Linked DNA regions of Saccharomyces cerevisiae S288C. Changing the gene in region 1 together with any one later gene gives a genetic interaction. Each region holds a gene or a part of one and is shown on either strand. Other genes may lie near its edges.

Region 1 (3,864 bases):
TTTTACTTTTATTATGCACTGGGGCGAGGTTTTTAGGCCCTTTCTTTTCTTAGAGGAAATATATACACATGTTCTCGCTAAAATCAGTTAAAAGGTCCGATTGAGATGGTACTGTCAAATGTTAAAATCTTCAGATTAAAATCGCATAGAGCCTTCAGAATCGGTCCCATGATTAAAGCAGTCGCAGGAAATCTTTTGGTAAAGAGATTTTATCAACCAAAATTAGAAAGAATTCCACCGGCTTCACTGCTTTTGAAGCAGAAAATACGGTTAGCTCAAAATGGCAGTACTACATCTACAGAAAACCCCATTTCCTTCTCACAGACCATGTCCGAGATATTTAGCGTCTTGCAGCCAAGTGCACCAGATCTAGATGAAGACGAAACAAGTGGTTTGAAACGCGATCATTTATTAACTGAGCGTCTAAACAACGGCGAGCTTGGTGTCATTATGAACAAATTCTTCAATCCGTCTTCGACACATAACAATCAGTTGATAGATACGAATATATTACTTCAGAATTTTCCTAAGTTAAGTGGTAATGACTTAGATTTATTGGATTTTGCCATAAATGAGAAAATGCGAGGAAACTGGAATGATCTAAAGCAAGATTTCATTCAGTTGTGGTACTACAAGTCATTTGGCTTTCTTGGACCTCGAACTCAATTTGTCCTGACAAACTCTTCTCCGTCAGTTAGGTCCCAATTCTTGAAACTTCCATTCATCGAATATAATTGGTTTCTCCTACAAAATAACAAAAACGCAAATATACTACCTGCTGATGTGCAAAACGTGGTCAAGGTGTTTCATCTTGATGATAAAAGGTTTACTTGGAAGAGCATAGATCCATTCAGCAAAGCTATAATTTCATTCGTCGTTTTTGTTTCCATATATGTGTGGTTGGATGAAAGTGCAAAACAAAAAACGAAGGAGCTGCCCGCACAGAAGAGTACTGTAATATCAGAATAAAAAAAAATGGGGTCACTCTTCATTCTTGCAGTTAAAAGTGCCACTCACTCATGATTTTTTTTTTTCCTGTTTTTTTGATTTTTTTTATATATTATACATTAAGTTATCTAAGTAAATATATTCTTTCTACTCTAAATAAGTATTCCTTGAATCAAACACAAAAGATACGGGTATCGGCAGTTATAACCGATAACAAATTGTCCTTATTTCTCATTTCACGTTATTTTCTCCAAAGAAATTTATGGTAGAGCAGTGTTTCTTTTTAGTATATTATTTATATGCAATGTTTCTATCATTATTAAATTTTCTTTACGGTATAAAGTAGAAGATGGAGGAATAGAAAGCAAACGGATCGATAGAGAAAGAAACTCACGATGAAGCCCTATATTTGATTGAACAAAAAGGTAATCGAATTCATAATATCGGCTCGGCATTCATCATTAAGATTCTTTTGATTTTTCTCAGTCTGCTTCGTCGTCGTCGTCGTCGTCATCATCATCATCATCATCGTCCATATCGTCCATATCATCCTCCCAAGATTTCTCTACCGTCTCCTTAACTCTTTTGACGTACTGTGATTTATGATCTTTGAATAATGTTGCAGCTTCAACGTTTGCTGGCGAAGCTGGATTTGGATCGTTGAATAAACTTTGAATGGATGTCAATATGGATGCGACATCATATGTTGGAGTCCATCTGTTCTGCAAAATATCCAAACAAATTTCACCATTTGCATAGACATTGGGATGAAACATTTCACTCAAAAATTTGACATGCGGTGGCTTATTGGGATATTCTTCATCAAACTCCAACAATAACCTAAAAGTTCCGTCTTCATATGGAGTATCGGCTGGCCCGATAATCATGGCGTTCCATACCATGACGTTATCAGGTAATGGTGAAGCAGATACACCCGGTGGGGCATCTTCCTTCATACGTTTAAAATCTCTCATCAACCTTCTTCTAGCTGGTGTGGACATGACGCTTTATCTTTTAGTCTCTGTCTGCCTAAAAATAATCTTTGGAATTCGATCTTCGTTGATTTTCCACTCTACTATTTATGTCATCAACTCTGCAACTTGATAGTTCTTTCCTTTTTTTCTCTTACACATTCCATTCGCTTTCATTTTTATTTTTCCAGCTTTCTACTCCGGCTACCCGGAGGTGCCTTTTTGTATATACATACACTAATCCGGGAAATGTAGTCACCATACTAATATTCCGAATATGTATTTGTTCCTTGGTATATAGTGTAAGCATGGTTAGCTCACACTTTATCTAATTGTAGTTTCTTCGTATGCTTCATCAAGTTGCCTAATTTTAATACAACATCGGTACCATATCCAGGCATTGAATGCAATGAAAGGTCGCCGTTCCAATATTCAGCATACACTTTACACATGGCTAACCCAATCCCAAGCTTGTATCTAAAAGACCGCTTTAACAATTCAATTAGGGGAGTTTCATATTTGATGTGCCCATTTATGATGCTAGGATAACTCATTGGTTCTAGCGACGTGTGCATGTACGGTTTTAATGTTATTGACTGCAATGACTTCAGTTTGGAGTTATATTTAGTATGGGAATGTACTTCGTCATAAATAGATACTGTTTGTAAACCAGGTAACTTGTGAAAATTATTTAGGGATTCTTGAGCCCTTTCTTTCGATTTACCGAATGACCATAGATTTTCATCATCATGGAGGACGCCCCCAGCTTTATCTGAAATTCTAAACAAATAGGATTCATCGTTACTTACTACAGTTACTATGATTGGTTCCGGCTTTTCTAATCCCTTACGAATATAGTGTTTCATGGTTGCTTCGTAAGTATTTCGAAGGATCTCCCCTAACAAATACTTCAAATGTGTAGGCAAAAAGTAAAAGCTTAGTTGAGTGTCACCTTCGATAATAAATTCTGGCATGGGAATGTCTTTAAAGTACATATCTTGGATAAATTTTTGAGATTCCTCACTGGCTTCCAATAAATATTTTTTAGCGCTACATTCTTGAAAAATATCACCCAATACCAAGGTATTTTCCTCCTTACCACTAGTGTAGTTGGCTGTGATACTGACGTGTTCCTCTACAATCAATCTTCTTGATATTCGAGCTCTTAACAGATCAGATAGTAGTTGGTCCATTTTTTCACGAGGATAAAGATCCAAAATTGTACATTCTAAAGCCCCCATTATCAAATGTGGTAAGTTTAGAGTATTGAAGCCTTCTAGCATATTTTTGATAAAATCTGCAAATTGAGAAGCGTCCTCTAAAGTTCTTATAGTCGGATATTTTCTAAAGCTTTCAAAAATATTGTAATATGACTCATAAACTTGAACAAAATGGAAGTTGTTCACAACATTAAATGGAAGTTGTTGCAATTGATTTAATTTATGCGCGATCCTAATTACCAGTTCTTCTTTTACAAATTTCCCGGAATTGATGATCTTGGTTCTGGTCAGCTTGGTAGAATCGTCATAATATTGCGCTAACTGCGTTAATGATACTGGATTTGGACTTCGTTTTAAGTAATTTTCTACTAATACCGTTCTATTATGATAGTAATGCTGCGGATTGATATATTCGGAATTTGAAGGGTATGCCTTCATGGTTTCCATGATGTAAGGTGCCAATTCTTCATTTACGGGACCAATGCAGTATTTCGTGAAATCAGGGATCTGCGAGATATTAGATGTCCTGAGAAAGTGCCGGTATCTTATGCAATTAATTTGATACTTAGACATAATTACAGAACTATTTATCCATTGACCAATCTCTCACGATCTTCATCTTTTACGTACTTTCTGGGTTCCAATGCAAGTATCCCATCCCTTCCCTTTTTATTCCTTGACGATCGGGCGATGAAATCTGAAAAAAATGAAAGTTTGGATGACTC
Region 2 (4,131 bases), on another chromosome or scaffold:
GGAGCCGGAGGGATTGCTTACCGGACGCTTGGCTTTGGATGGAGAATGATCTATGCTATTGATCAATTTATTTACTCTGCTGTTGGGAGACGTTTTCACGGGAGTCAACGTCTTCTTTTGTGGGTTTAGATGGAATGTTAAAGCCTGGCTTCTCTTTATGCTTGGTGTGGATGAGCGCCTATTTAGGGAATGATGAGGCCTTGGCGGCGTATTTTCCAGCGGTGAAGAAGAGGAAGAACGAGAACATGAGCTTCCATCACGAAGTATGTCCGCCTTGACTCTGGATGCTAGTGGCGTAGCATGAACGTCCAGAGGCGGAGATGGTGGAGATACCGTTTGTATTATAGTGGTTGACTTCGAAGTGGCGATTCTCTGCCTTTTAACCGCTTGTCTTTTATTCTGGAACCATATTTGAACGGCTTTTTCAGTCATATGGCAAGATTCAGCTAACTCAATTCGTTTCTCCTTCGATGGAGCAGGACATTTTTCAAATTCAGCCTGAAGAATAGATAGTTCCTGGGACGAGGTTCTTCTTCTCTTTCGGCGTGCTAGTGGAGCGTTGTCGATCTTAGGCTCCTTCTTAGGGAAGGTCTCCTGCGAGTGTGTGATGAAAGCAAATGCACGTCTTTTTTCCTTAGAGGCAGAGGGGATAATAATCGACTTCGCTGCAGAGAGTGGTGTTAATATGTCGTTTTTCTTTGAAGAAACCGAATAATCTCTCTTTTTGCTATTTAGGGGAGTCAGTAGAAGGTTTTCGTGTGATTCATCAACTGTTTCTTGAGAACTATTCAACTGAGATGAGAGGGCTGAGTCTGATTGCGTGTGCTTGAGCATGTCATCACCATAAGCGCTGCTATTTTCATGCAAGGATGTAACAGTGTGTCTCAAGGCGCTTTCCACAGATCTTGGACGATTGATACTGGTGTTTAGCGGTGGTAATTTTATGGTTCCGCGATCATCGAGGTGAAAACTCGTTCTTGGATTAGTGAAGCTTGGTGATACGGGGCTGGACGAGATTTCGGTTCCCGATAGAAGACTAGATAGAGAAGGTAGCATTTTTGTTTCTTGTGACATCAAGAATTGATCAAATCACAAAGATTGAAGGGGAAAGGTAGTGGTCTGGAACTGTTACCTCGTTGTTCTGTGGTCACCACTGTGTTTTCACCCAAATCATACTGAAATCACAACATAGAGTCTTGTTAAAATGCCAAGGCATATATATATATAATAATTACAAGAGTTCGTGTCCACTAAAAACCGTATAGAGCAATAAGTAGCCCGAAACAGCATACAGATTGTTCGCGTTTGAAGTTTCCACGTACTAGGTTGGACATACAGTTGCAGAAGCCTTTAAGCATCTGCAGTAATTGGCGACTATAGCGAGCTGTACCATTTTGACGCCCTTCCCAAAGAGGAAACCGGGCACCAGAAGGAATTCGCGGTGTTCCCCGTTTGGGGCATGGCGTGTCGCCTAGAAGGGAAATCATATGAAAGAAAAGAAGCGTCGCGTCTCAGCGTATGAAGGGCAGCAACAGAGCTAAAGTGAGTGTGGCAGTGAATGGTTTACGCGTTTTAGAGCCAGACGATGATTGTTATTAGAACTGAGCTAGTGTGAATAGCTTCTTAGACGGTAGTGTATCGTTTTGTCAGTGAATAGCATTAAGTTTATGGGTTTTATATATAGATAGATAGGTATAAACGTAAAGAGTGAATTTTAAATAAGTAGTCATTTAGACAACTCTGCAAGCGTCTTATTTGTTGGCAGCTTCGAAGTATTCCTTGGAGTCTTCAACGGTTGGCTTGATGGTAGCAGCACCTGGAGTCCAGTTACATGGCAAGACAGTACCGTTCTTGTCGGTCCATTGGAAGGCTTCAACCAATCTCAAGGCTTCGTCAACGTTTCTACCGACTGGCAAATCGTTAATGGTGATGTGTCTAATGACACCCTTTGGGTCGATGATGAACAAACCTCTCAAGGCGACACCTTCTTCTTCGATCAAGACACCATAGTCTCTGGACAAAGAGTGGTTGGTGTCAGCCAACAATGGAATGTTGATTGGGCCCAAACCACCTTCCTTTCTTGGGATATTGGTCCATGCCAAAAGGGAGTATTCGGAGTCAGTGGAGGCGAAAAGAACTTGAGCGCCTTGTTCTTCGAATTTCTTAGCAGCTTCTGAGAAAGCAATGATTTCGGTTGGACAGACGAAAGTGAAGGCCAATGGAATAAAGGCTAGGACAACGTACTTACCCTTGTATTTGTCCAAGGAGACTTCGTCAAAGACACCGTCGACGACGGCAGTTTTCTTAAAAGTTGGAGCTTGCTTTTGAACTTGAGCGACCATTGTGTATGTATGTGTATGTAGTTGTGGTTGGTTGTGAGCAATTGAACGAGGGGAAGGCCCGTTGAGAACGGTTCGGCATTGATCTGACGAATTACCTCCCTTTATATATGTCCTGGTTTGTTGCCAGCCGACTTTGCCAACCCGAGCCAAACCGAAAAATCCCTAAAGGACAATTTGTCAGAAAACCCGACGGGCCAGAACAGCATGGGTTTTCGTACACCTTAAACGCATTATATAACGTGGCCACATCGCATTGCAATTAGTCTTCATCAGGAATGTAGAGATGAGGTTGCGCACCTGTGGCGGTGGGTTCTTCCTCGTCAGGGATTATGAGGGCCTCATCTTCGTTTTCCTGCTGTTGGGCAGATGGAGCCGGTTGCTCACGGTCCCTTGCTCTCTGTGCAACAATATCATCCAGCTTCTCCTTCACATAGGGGAGTAGTGTAACCCAAAAGAGCACGAAGTTCTTTATCACAGCGGTTATCACCCTATCGTTTACCGGGTCTGGAATTATGTATCTGAGTACGACATCAAGGACGTTATGCTCCGCTATTTGCGAGCACAAGGTTTGGAACCATCTTCTGTACTTGGGTAGCGTATTGATGTCTTTCTTTTGGGACTCCTTCCAAATCATCAGCAGCAATTCGTTCAAAGAGTCTTGAGGATATAGTGTGTTCATGTTTCTTGTCGTTTCATACAATTCGAAAAACTCTTTGAACAACTCATCTAGCGCGTCCTTAGGAATCTCACCCGATAGCACCTTGATAAATAGCAAATTCAATTGTCCAACGTCAGGGGTGTTGGTGTCGTACTCAATATCATACTTAGAATAGACCGATAGCCTTTGCTCATGTAGATTAGGTATCATCAGTAAATCAATAGCGGATTGAGTGTCCTTACATTTCTTGTAGAAATTTAAGGTCAATGAATTGGAATTGATGAACTCCTTGATCTGGCTAAACTTGACTTCGTCAATTTCATTCAAGTGGAGATAGTCTCGCCATAAATTCCACACCTCTTGGGTATTCCAAACAGTCCTAAAAATGAAAAGCAAGCTTAGTAAAATGATATATTTCCAGGGAAGGAAGCTTCCAAACTCCAAAATAATAAAAAAGGGAACCAATGAATTATAGCCAATTAAGTAAAATGTTCTTATCAATACCAATAGCAGCGGGAAGCTGTTTCTCAAGGGACGCACTACCCTTCTATTCCACGCTGACTCGTCATTCTCAACTGTATTATTATCATTTGCCGAAGAGGTATTATCTGCAGCTCGAACATGCTCACCAGACGGATGCAAGAGTGTCGAATCCCGTGGTCTCTCGATTTTGAAGTTCAAAGCAGATTCTAACTGCTCTATCGCAGATGGTGATAGCAAAATATTATCGCCATTAATTCTGTAGTCATTACTAGATATGGGGATTTTAATTTCACCGTAATCGCCTTTGATCACGGACAAATAGCTCGATTGTGGATTTAGTTCGCTAACAGGAATGAATACTACTTCATCCCCGTTGATAATGCATTTCCTATAAAGCTCATCTGTGGGCACGATGTCATTTCCAGATTCGGTTACGTATGGTATACCCCGTTCTTCGCCACGTATTGCAGCAGGAGATCGTCCTTGCGTCGGAGCGAAACTAACAGGTGACTGTGACCTTGTATCTGGAGGCATGAATTGGAAAATATTCGGATTGTTGAACACTTCATTCCAAAATCCAGGCCCAGATTCTGTATACTCTTGGTTGATTTGTACATGGACCTTCACTTCATGTGGCTCTTTAATGTA
Region 3 (4,619 bases), on another chromosome or scaffold:
GGAAGGTTTACCTTACAGGTCCTTAGTATGGATAAACGACCACGAGATTGTTTGTGGAGGATACTCTTGTCATCCGGTATTGTTCAGCGAAGCCTCTGAAGGCTGGAAATTTGCGAAGAATCTAGACAAATCAGACAATAACAAGTCTTCTGCCTTAACTGCATCTGGTAATACAGACGAGCTGAGTGGTAATAATGATGAAAGTTCAACTTTCGGTATTTCCGCATTGAGAAAGTTTAAAGAATTAGACTTGAAAGGTAAAGTTAGCACAGATGTCCAAGAAAGTGCACATGAAAACGCCATTGTGGAATTAAGACCTTTTGCGGAATCCAACGGCCAAATCACACAAGTCTCTTCCTGTGGGTTAGACGGTAAGATCGTCATTTATACAATTTAAATATACATACGTATATATATATATTGTTATGTGTATTCCCTACCTCATAATACACCTTGAGTTTGTATTGTTTTTTTCTTCACTTGGCATATACAGACTATATTATTACAACTCACAGCACAATGTAGTGTACCGTAAAAAATAAAGCATCAGAATCAATTTCTTGCACCAAACCATTATTTAGAATTGCTACCCAAAGACTCCTGTTCTTGCTTTCTTTGCAAGATAAGCGAGTACACGCTACCTTTTAGCAGTGTCCCAACTAAACCAATTTTGACCTCTATGTCCCTCATCTCCTGTAGTATCTCATCTGGCGATACAGTTTCTTGCTGTGAATGCTGTTGCCTGTGTTGCGAATAGTTTAGTTCTTTTATAGTTTCATCCAGAGCTTTTAGATCTAAAGAAAGCTGTTTGTATTTGTCCAATACTTCTTGCTGTAAAGGTGAAAGATTGTGTTCCATACTGTGACTACAACGCCGTGTATGTTTCACAGCGACTTTGACTGGCTACTGTAAGCTCTTCTTTTGTATTCTTTGGAATAGTTTATTTACATGTAATTACTGTAATAGCGCGCAGCCGAGCTAAAAAAAAAAAAAATACAAAGCTTTTGATCAATTTGTTACAAAGAGAAATAATTCCGCGTACGTATTTCTATTGATATTTATATATCTACATTCATTCAATTTATTACCTTTTCTTTTATTTTTTTTGCCTTTTGTAGTTTCTGTATTTTTATTTTCTATGTGTTTTTATTGACTAGCAGTATATTTAGAGGGGCGACCTTCTTTTACGTTCAGCATTTGATCTATCAATTTCAATTTTATTGCTAATCAACATAATAGCAGCTTGGGACGCCATGAACGTACCTCTTATGGTAAGTCTTCTCTCCGAAGAGCCTTCTACAGGATCTTGTATAATAATTGAACAACCTGTGGATTCCTTGACCGAATTTATGTGCTTGCCATCTTTGCCAATGACATTTCCGACAAATTTCTCATCTATGAATATCTCTTGTTGTACAAAGTTCATTAATAAATGGTTGCCGGGTGCCGGACTGATAACAGGGCCGTCTAAGACTGTCACATTAGGGATAACGAAGTTCGGTTGAAAGGCCGTTGCGTTTGCAACGCTAGCAGTAGTATACTGCGGTGTGGCCATACTCAACAAAGTAGATGATATTGGTAAATTTTTGTTGGGTTTGTATGAAAGTAGTTTATCGCTTGGATGATATTGGTGGTTTCTTTGATGGAAAATGGTGTTCGGTTGGCTATGGTCTATTAATACTGAGTTAAACTGAGTTGGCTGATAGTATATGGACCTTTTCACATTTTTCTGCGGAGATTCCATCTGAAAGTTTAGCAATGTTTGACTAATGTAGAAAGTAGCAATATGGATAGCATCCGGAACCCCGTTAATGGTTAAAATTCTATCGTTAGAAAGCAGCAATTGATTCGGGGACGCGAATAATTTTGCTGCACTCAAATCCTCAATTTCTCTTAACCGAGACCCACGTTTGCCAATTATACATCCCATAAGATGATGAGGGATCAATAGGTTGATAGAAATCTCAATGTCTTCCCCGTTATCTTCGTTACCATGTTCTTCAAGCAGCGCTCTTACTATCATGCCGTATGCCTTGGCTACATCATCGCAAGTACCCCTCACGTAAACAATTCTTTCAGGAACACCTCTGATATTATTTGATATGTTTATTCTAGCAGAGGTTTCGGATTTTATTCTAGATATAGTGGCGCCCTTGTGTCCTACTATCAGTGAAGCGTGTTTGACTAAGCACAGCATTCGTAAATGTACATCAGAGGGAACATTGTCGGGGGAATCGTGGTCGTTGTCAGAGTGGCTGTCTGCATCCTTCAGGGCCACGCGTTTGATTTCTGCTTCCAGTTGTTCCTCGCTGGTGTCTTCACCCTTTTTCCTTTTGAGCGTGTTGGGAGAAACGAGTACAGTAGTTGGTGTAGTAGTGATTGATGGTTTTGTAGTCTCTGTGGACATAATTGAGCTAAAGAGTATTACAGAAAGATTATTTAATGCCGCGCTGGACGATTAAAATTGTTAGAGTGGATGTGGCTATGGATAAGTTTGAATATGAAAAAGGTTACTTATGCGGCTAACGACTAGGTGCGTATTTATCGTTTGACGAGTATGTACGTGTTTTCTTTTGTATCATGATATTTCGTGTAAGTACCATATCGGGGAAAGACAAAAAAAAGTGAATTAAAGAGCGAAGTTTAAAGATGATGAATAGGATTAATCGACAAGTAAGAAAAAAGACGAAAAGGCGTAAACTGGAATAATATTGTTTCAAGAAAGAAAACCCACTAGCCTATAAATGCCAGAAGTAGAGACAAAGATTATACCAAACGAAAAGGAGGACGAGGACGAGGACGGCTACATAGAAGAGGAGGACGAGGACTTCCAGCCTGAAAAAGATAAATTAGGTGGTGGTAGCGACGATAGTGATGCCAGCGATGGCGGTGACGACTATGATGACGGTGTGAACAGAGATAAGGGTAGAAATAAAGTGGACTATTCGCGTATAGAGAGCGAGAGCGGCGGACTGATCAAGACTAGAAGAGCTCGGCAAGCTGAGGAAGAATATGCGAAAACACATAAGTATGAATCGTTAACTGTTGAATCGATCCCTGCAAAAGTAAACAGCATCTGGGAGGAGCTACAGGAAGCTAGTAAGAACCGTCTTTTGAGCAGTTCAGGGAAAGTCGGCTCTGTTCTCGACGGTTCCAAGGAGGCTAGGTCGACAACGGCCGCGCAACAGGAGGACAAAATCCTCATCGAAAGAAACTACAAGTTTGCTGGTGAAACTGTCCATGAGAAAAAATGGGTTTCACGCAGCAGTGCGGAGGGTCAAGAATATCTAAACAGTTTGAAATTTAAGCAGCAGGCGCCTGCTGCTCCTGTTCAACTGGAAAAAGCAGTTAGGACCAAGTCCAATGAAAGCCGGCAACACTTGCGACGGCCACTGAAAAGGCCTCCATTGTTGGAGCAGATCATTTCTGGCGGGCTACGACCCAAGCTAACGACATTAGAAAAATCTCAGCTGGACTGGGCTAGTTATGTAGACCGTGCTGGACTTAACGACGAATTGGTGCTGCACAACAAGGATGGGTTCTTGGCCCGGCAAGAATTTCTGCAGCGGGTCGGGTCTGCAGAGGACGAGAGATACAAAGAATTGCGCCGGCAACAACTTGCTCAGCAGTTGCAGCAGGATAGCGAAGCTTCATAGACAAATATTACATGTATTAAATAACATGCTTTTCTGCTCAAATTTTTTTAACCGCCGAGGCCTGCACACTTTCACTACGTGTATAACGATGCTGCAGACAAAGTAATGGGGTGTATGGGTGTGGGTGGCAAAAAAAACCTAGCAACGCTCTATGTTTCTTTTCTTTTTTCTTTCTTTTTTTTTTTTTGCCGTTTCCGATGGGCCACTCGGTGAAAACATATAAAAAGGGCTCTACATTCATTTTTTCATCGATGAGTACTTTACTTGTTATCAGATTTATTCATTTTGTTTCTACTTGTTTTTTTTTTAAATCCCCACGAATCTCTTTGCCTTTTGGCTTAGATCAAGTGTAGTATCTGTTCTTTTCAGTGTAACAACTGAAATGACCTCAATGAGGCTCATTACCTTTTAATTTGTTACAATACACATTTTTTGGCACCCAAAATAATAAAATGGACGGGAAGAGACTTTTTAAGCAAGTTGTTTTCCGCTAATGTCAGGTCTCACTACTTTTTGCTGCTATTTTTCTTCGCTCATGGTTTCTTCATAAGGCGTTTTTATGATGGTTTTTCGAAATTGGTTTTTGAGACGACGGTTGCTCAAGGTTATTGTTTTTGTTTTCTTCTGGTTGTTTTCTATTTTCTTTTTTTTAGCTTTCTGTTTCTCCCTTAGTTTGGCTTTTTGCTTCATACTCTTCCCTGTCTTTCCGAGCCGTTTATGTCCAACGCGGGATTTGGTTTTTCTTTATCGATGGGAAGAAATGGTGCTATAGTAGGTTGGGAGATAATATTTATGGTATGGGGTGCTAGTGCGGATGGGGCGCTCTTATTGTTGATTTCTTCGCTCGTCTTCTTTTTCTGGTGGCGCTGCAAGAGGAAGTTTTTCGACTTTGTTATGATTTTTGGTTTGCAAGGAAAGGTGTCTTACGATTCTTTTTTTGATGTAATAGGATAAGCTTGCTTA
Region 4 (4,619 bases), on another chromosome or scaffold:
TGGCAAGAATTTTTTCTTCTAAAGTTTCAACGTTTTTTTTCAGTTTAGCTTGAGTTTCCTCCAACAAAGATAGTTCGGATTCAGCCAATTGTATCTGTGATTCTTTTTCCTGAAGTTGGAGGTCCCAAGGCTCCAGTTCCTTTTCATGCCGAATAATCTCTGCAGATATATTCTTCGTTTTATCTTTCAAAGATAGTTTAATATCATCAAGTATACTTCGTTCCTTTTCCAGCAATTGAGTCAAGTCTTTGATCTCCGTCTCGTGTTCGGTTTGTTGTCCACGAAGCTCTTCAAGCATATTCTCGGCCTCCGATATTGAATGTTTGGTGGATTTCAAAGTCTTTTCTGCTTTTTCCATTTTACTTACCAAATTTTTTGTTCTCTCTTCTAGAGACACCCTGGTGCCTTCTAATTCTCTTCTTTCTAAAACCAGGGTCTTTTCTTTCGAGCTACAAGATGATATTCGATCTTTTATTTCCTTACGTTGTGCTTTAATCTCATCCACTTTTTTCAAAGATTCTTGAAATTTCATCTTCTCATCTTCGAGGTCTTTATTCGAAGAGGAGATCTTTTCCAAGGTGCTGGCAAGTTTAGAGTTGCTTTGCAACAATTTAAATTGAAATAATTTTGATCTTAAAAGCGTCAGCTGCTTTTCCTTCTCTAAAAACTCTAACGCCGTTTCTTTCCCTGACTCTAAAGAGTTTTTTTCTCTATCAACAATTTCAAATCTATTTTCCTTTTCCAGGCAAACTTCATTTAGATTCTCAATCTGTCCCATTCGCTCTTCAATTAACGGCTTATAGTTTGCAGTTCCAATTATGTCCTCCAGATATTCCAGTAGTCCGTCGTCACTCTCTTTTTCTGCTTTAGGCTTCATTTGAGCAATATTCTCTACTTCACCTTGTAGAATTAAAAATCGTTTATGGTCTAAATCAATACCCTCATTCTTTAAAAGCTTTGTCACCTCTGTGTAGCTACTTTCTTTTTCGTTTATGTAATATTTCGATGAGTTGTTTTTAAAGGCTTTCCTTGTAATGATCAATCCAGGTTTTTCTTCATCGATTCGGGAAGTACCCGAAGATTCATCAATAACGTACTGAAAATGTACAGCTACGGAACATGATTGCAAACTTGGGAAAGCTTCTGATTTATGAATTAAATCCGACAATCTGTCCTGTCTCATCTTGTTCGCTCTAAATCCAAATACAAATAACATGGAATCGATGACATTTGATTTACCTGAACCATTGGGGCCTACCACGGCCGAGAAGCTAGTATGAAAGGGTCCTACTACTTGTTTACCAGCGTAGGACTTGAAGTTCTCTAAGACTAGTTCGTTAATAAATAGTCTGCTCTGTTGCTTGCTCGACGACTGGTGCCTATCATAAATTTTTTGTAGTTCAACCCTGCTATTTTTCACTGGCGAAAGCTGGAGCAATTCTAATCTTCTAGTTGGCGATCTTCCTGGAGACCTTGGTGGTGATTGAGAGTAGGACTTATGGTCGCGACCCCTAGAAGAGGTTTTTGGTGGTTGCAAGTTCGGTACATGTAATGACGTGGTTGTTGAGTTTGTAGGTTGAGAAAAGGCATACCGATTTTCCCCAGAACTTAAAACAAGCTTTCTGGGAGTATAAGATTTGGAATAAGATGCTTCCAACGCAGGAAGATCCGGCTCTGGTGTATTCTCGCTTAGGTTAACTCGGTTTTCTACCTGCGAATCTTCTTCGGCATCACCTTGATCAAGAGATAATTCTGGTTCTTGGGCGGACTTCCGCTTTTGTCTTTTGCTCAATGGACTATCAGACATCAAATATATTCTGTTGGTTGCACGTGGTTAGTGTTTAAGGTGATGCGGCTTCTTATAGGGCCTCTTTTATGGTATGAAATCGATTCCAGTGTGTAGATAATGTAAACCTATATGTATTTTCGTGATTATTGTAAACAGTTTACTTTCCGTCCATAATTACAAATGCATTTCAAAATGGGCCAAGAAGAACAAGAGAATTAATGCAAGACCAAAGGAGAAGAAGCGCAGAATCGTGGACAAGATAATTTAAACTATGGAAACACCACCCATTGTGATTGATAATGGCTCATACGAAATCAAGTTTGGTCCTTCCACGAATAAGAAACCGTTCCGAGCTTTAAATGCATTGGCCAAAGATAAATTTGGGACATCGTATTTATCAAATCATATCAAAAACATCAAAGATATTTCATCTATCACCTTCAGGAGGCCACATGAACTAGGACAGCTCACATTATGGGAATTAGAGAGTTGTATATGGGATTATTGCCTTTTCAATCCTTCAGAGTTTGATGGGTTTGATCTGAAAGAGGGAAAGGGTCATCATTTGGTTGCTAGCGAGAGCTGTATGACTTTACCAGAATTAAGTAAGCATGCCGACCAGGTGATATTTGAAGAATATGAATTCGACAGTCTTTTCAAGTCTCCTGTAGCAGTCTTTGTACCATTTACCAAGTCATATAAGGGTGAAATGAGAACAATTTCAGGTAAGGACGAAGATATCGATATTGTCCGTGGCAACTCAGACAGTACAAATTCCACATCAAGCGAGTCCAAGAATGCGCAGGATTCAGGTAGCGATTATCATGATTTCCAATTAGTTATTGATTCCGGGTTTAATTGTACTTGGATAATTCCTGTCCTGAAGGGAATACCGTACTATAAAGCGGTAAAAAAATTGGACATTGGAGGCCGTTTCCTAACTGGGCTACTAAAGGAAACTCTATCATTCAGACACTACAATATGATGGATGAAACCATACTTGTTAACAATATCAAGGAACAATGCTTGTTCGTTAGCCCGGTGTCTTATTTTGATAGTTTCAAAACGAAGGATAAGCATGCACTAGAATATGTACTTCCTGACTTCCAAACAAGCTTTCTTGGTTACGTAAGAAACCCCAGAAAAGAAAATGTACCGTTACCTGAAGATGCGCAGATCATAACACTGACAGATGAGCTTTTCACAATACCAGAAACTTTTTTCCATCCAGAAATTTCGCAAATTACTAAACCAGGCATTGTGGAGGCCATCCTAGAGAGCCTTTCCATGTTGCCCGAAATAGTGCGACCTCTTATGGTAGGAAACATTGTATGTACAGGAGGAAACTTTAATCTGCCCAATTTCGCCCAACGGCTTGCGGCAGAACTACAAAGGCAATTACCCACAGATTGGACTTGTCATGTTTCGGTGCCCGAAGGTGACTGTGCTCTGTTTGGGTGGGAAGTGATGTCACAGTTTGCAAAGACAGATTCCTACCGAAAAGCGAGGGTCACAAGAGAAGAATACTATGAGCATGGTCCCGATTGGTGTACGAAGCACAGGTTTGGTTACCAGAATTGGATATAATTAACTATAGATTTACATAGCAACAATGAAAATCCGAAAAGTCGAGACCTTCAGGTCATTTTCAATTTGGATTTTGTCATGTTTTTAAGAATCTTCCGCAGGCAATAATACATCTCATATGTTTTACATTTTTATTGACAAATTCCCAAATTAGGCAAAAATTCCTCTTTTTTAGTGGTTAGAAACGCCATTCTTCCCATTTTTTCGCGATACAAAAAAAGAAATATATGGAAATGTGGAAATGTCATCATCAGAAGTCTCGAAGGAAAGTGTGCGCTTTAATCATCCCCATACTAGACTTTGTAGGAGAAGATAATACAATTTTCGTTTTATATTTATACAGTTGATTGACCGGGAAACGAAGAAACGCAAGAGAAAACGATCAAAATACACCTGTTCTTCGTTACGATATAGAAATTAAATGTTTGTTCATCGTCTCTGGACACTCGCATTTCCTTTTCTTGTGGAGATATCGAAGGCATCACAGTTGGAGAATATTAAATCTCTTCTGGACATCGAAGATAATGTGCTACCGAATTTGAATATATCGCAAAATAATAGCAACGCAGTACAAATCCTCGGGGGTGTGGACGCCTTATCTTTTTACGAGTACACAGGCCAACAAAATTTCACTAAAGAAATAGGTCCAGAAACAAGCTCACATGGATTAGTTTATTACTCTAACAACACCTATATCCAGTTGGAAGATGCCTCTGATGATACTCGAATAGACAAAATTACACCATTTGGCGTTGATTCGTTTATTCTTAGCGGATCAGGCACGATAAACAATATCTCTGTCGGAAACCAGATATTATACAATTTGTCGACACTGTCTATGACGCCTATATTCAACCAGTCTTTGGGAGCTGTTCAGGCTGTGCTCGCAGACAATTCTTCTATCTATTTTGGAGGAAACTTTTCATATAATAATGGCTCCATGACGGGCTATAGTGCTCTCATTTGGGACTCCATATCAAATACCACCCAACTTTTACCTTTTGGAGGGTTTGGTGAAAACTCCAGTGTGAATTCCATAGTCAAGCTAAATAATGACAACATTTTATTTGCAGGCCAGTTTTATACACTGGATGATCCTTCTGCGCTTATCAGTAGTTCAAATAACGGTACGAACTCAACTTCCTCTTTAAACGCTACTACATTGGAGCTAGGCCAACGAATTCCACTGAGGTACGCTTCCTGGGATTCCCAGGGAAGTACAACGTTTGCATCTGATTCGTT

What was found.
Region 2: mutations in RAD6 (region 1) and TSA1 are lethal when combined (synthetic lethality), as found in Saccharomyces cerevisiae (7 studies listed by BioGRID, with this or other methods).
Region 3: mutations in RAD6 (region 1) and SWC5 together harm fitness more than expected from each alone (negative genetic interaction), as found in Saccharomyces cerevisiae (6 studies listed by BioGRID, with this or other methods).
Region 4: mutations in RAD6 (region 1) and ARP6 are lethal when combined (synthetic lethality), as found in Saccharomyces cerevisiae (5 studies listed by BioGRID, with this or other methods).

The regions. Positions count from the first base shown.
Region 1 is NC_001139.9:392,071-395,934, reverse strand, and holds RAD6 (E2 ubiquitin-conjugating protein RAD6), read right to left. Parts: upstream 1,950-3,864; coding exon 1,431-1,949; downstream 1-1,430. Other genes in the region: GEP7 (Gep7p), read left to right, coding at 106-969; protein kinase PKP2, read right to left, coding at 2,237-3,712. UniProt on the Saccharomyces cerevisiae protein: E2 ubiquitin-conjugating enzyme that accepts ubiquitin from the ubiquitin-activating enzyme E1 and transfers it to a E3 ubiquitin-protein ligase.
Region 2 is NC_001145.3:218,349-222,479, reverse strand, and holds TSA1 (thioredoxin peroxidase TSA1), read right to left. Parts: upstream 2,343-4,131; coding exon 1,752-2,342; downstream 1-1,751. Other genes in the region: YOX1 (Yox1p), read right to left, coding at 1-1,074; USA1 (Usa1p), read right to left, coding at 2,602-4,131. UniProt on the Saccharomyces cerevisiae protein: Thiol-specific peroxidase that catalyzes the reduction of hydrogen peroxide and organic hydroperoxides to water and alcohols, respectively.
Region 3 is NC_001134.8:681,216-685,834, reverse strand, and holds SWC5 (Swc5p), read left to right. Parts: upstream 1-2,744; coding exon 2,745-3,656; downstream 3,657-4,619. Other genes in the region: ARC40 (Arc40p), read left to right, coding at 1-397; DAD3 (Dad3p), read right to left, coding at 574-858; telomere maintenance protein PBP2, read right to left, coding at 1,166-2,407. UniProt on the Saccharomyces cerevisiae protein: Component of the SWR1 complex which mediates the ATP-dependent exchange of histone H2A for the H2A variant HZT1 leading to transcriptional regulation of selected genes by chromatin remodeling. Involved in chromosome stability.
Region 4 is NC_001144.5:299,431-304,049, reverse strand, and holds ARP6 (Arp6p), read left to right. Parts: upstream 1-2,060; coding exon 2,061-3,377; downstream 3,378-4,619. Other genes in the region: condensin subunit SMC4, read right to left, coding at 1-1,807; RAX2 (Rax2p), read left to right, coding at 3,799-4,619. UniProt on the Saccharomyces cerevisiae protein: Component of the SWR1 complex which mediates the ATP-dependent exchange of histone H2A for the H2A variant HZT1 leading to transcriptional regulation of selected genes by chromatin remodeling. Involved in chromosome stability.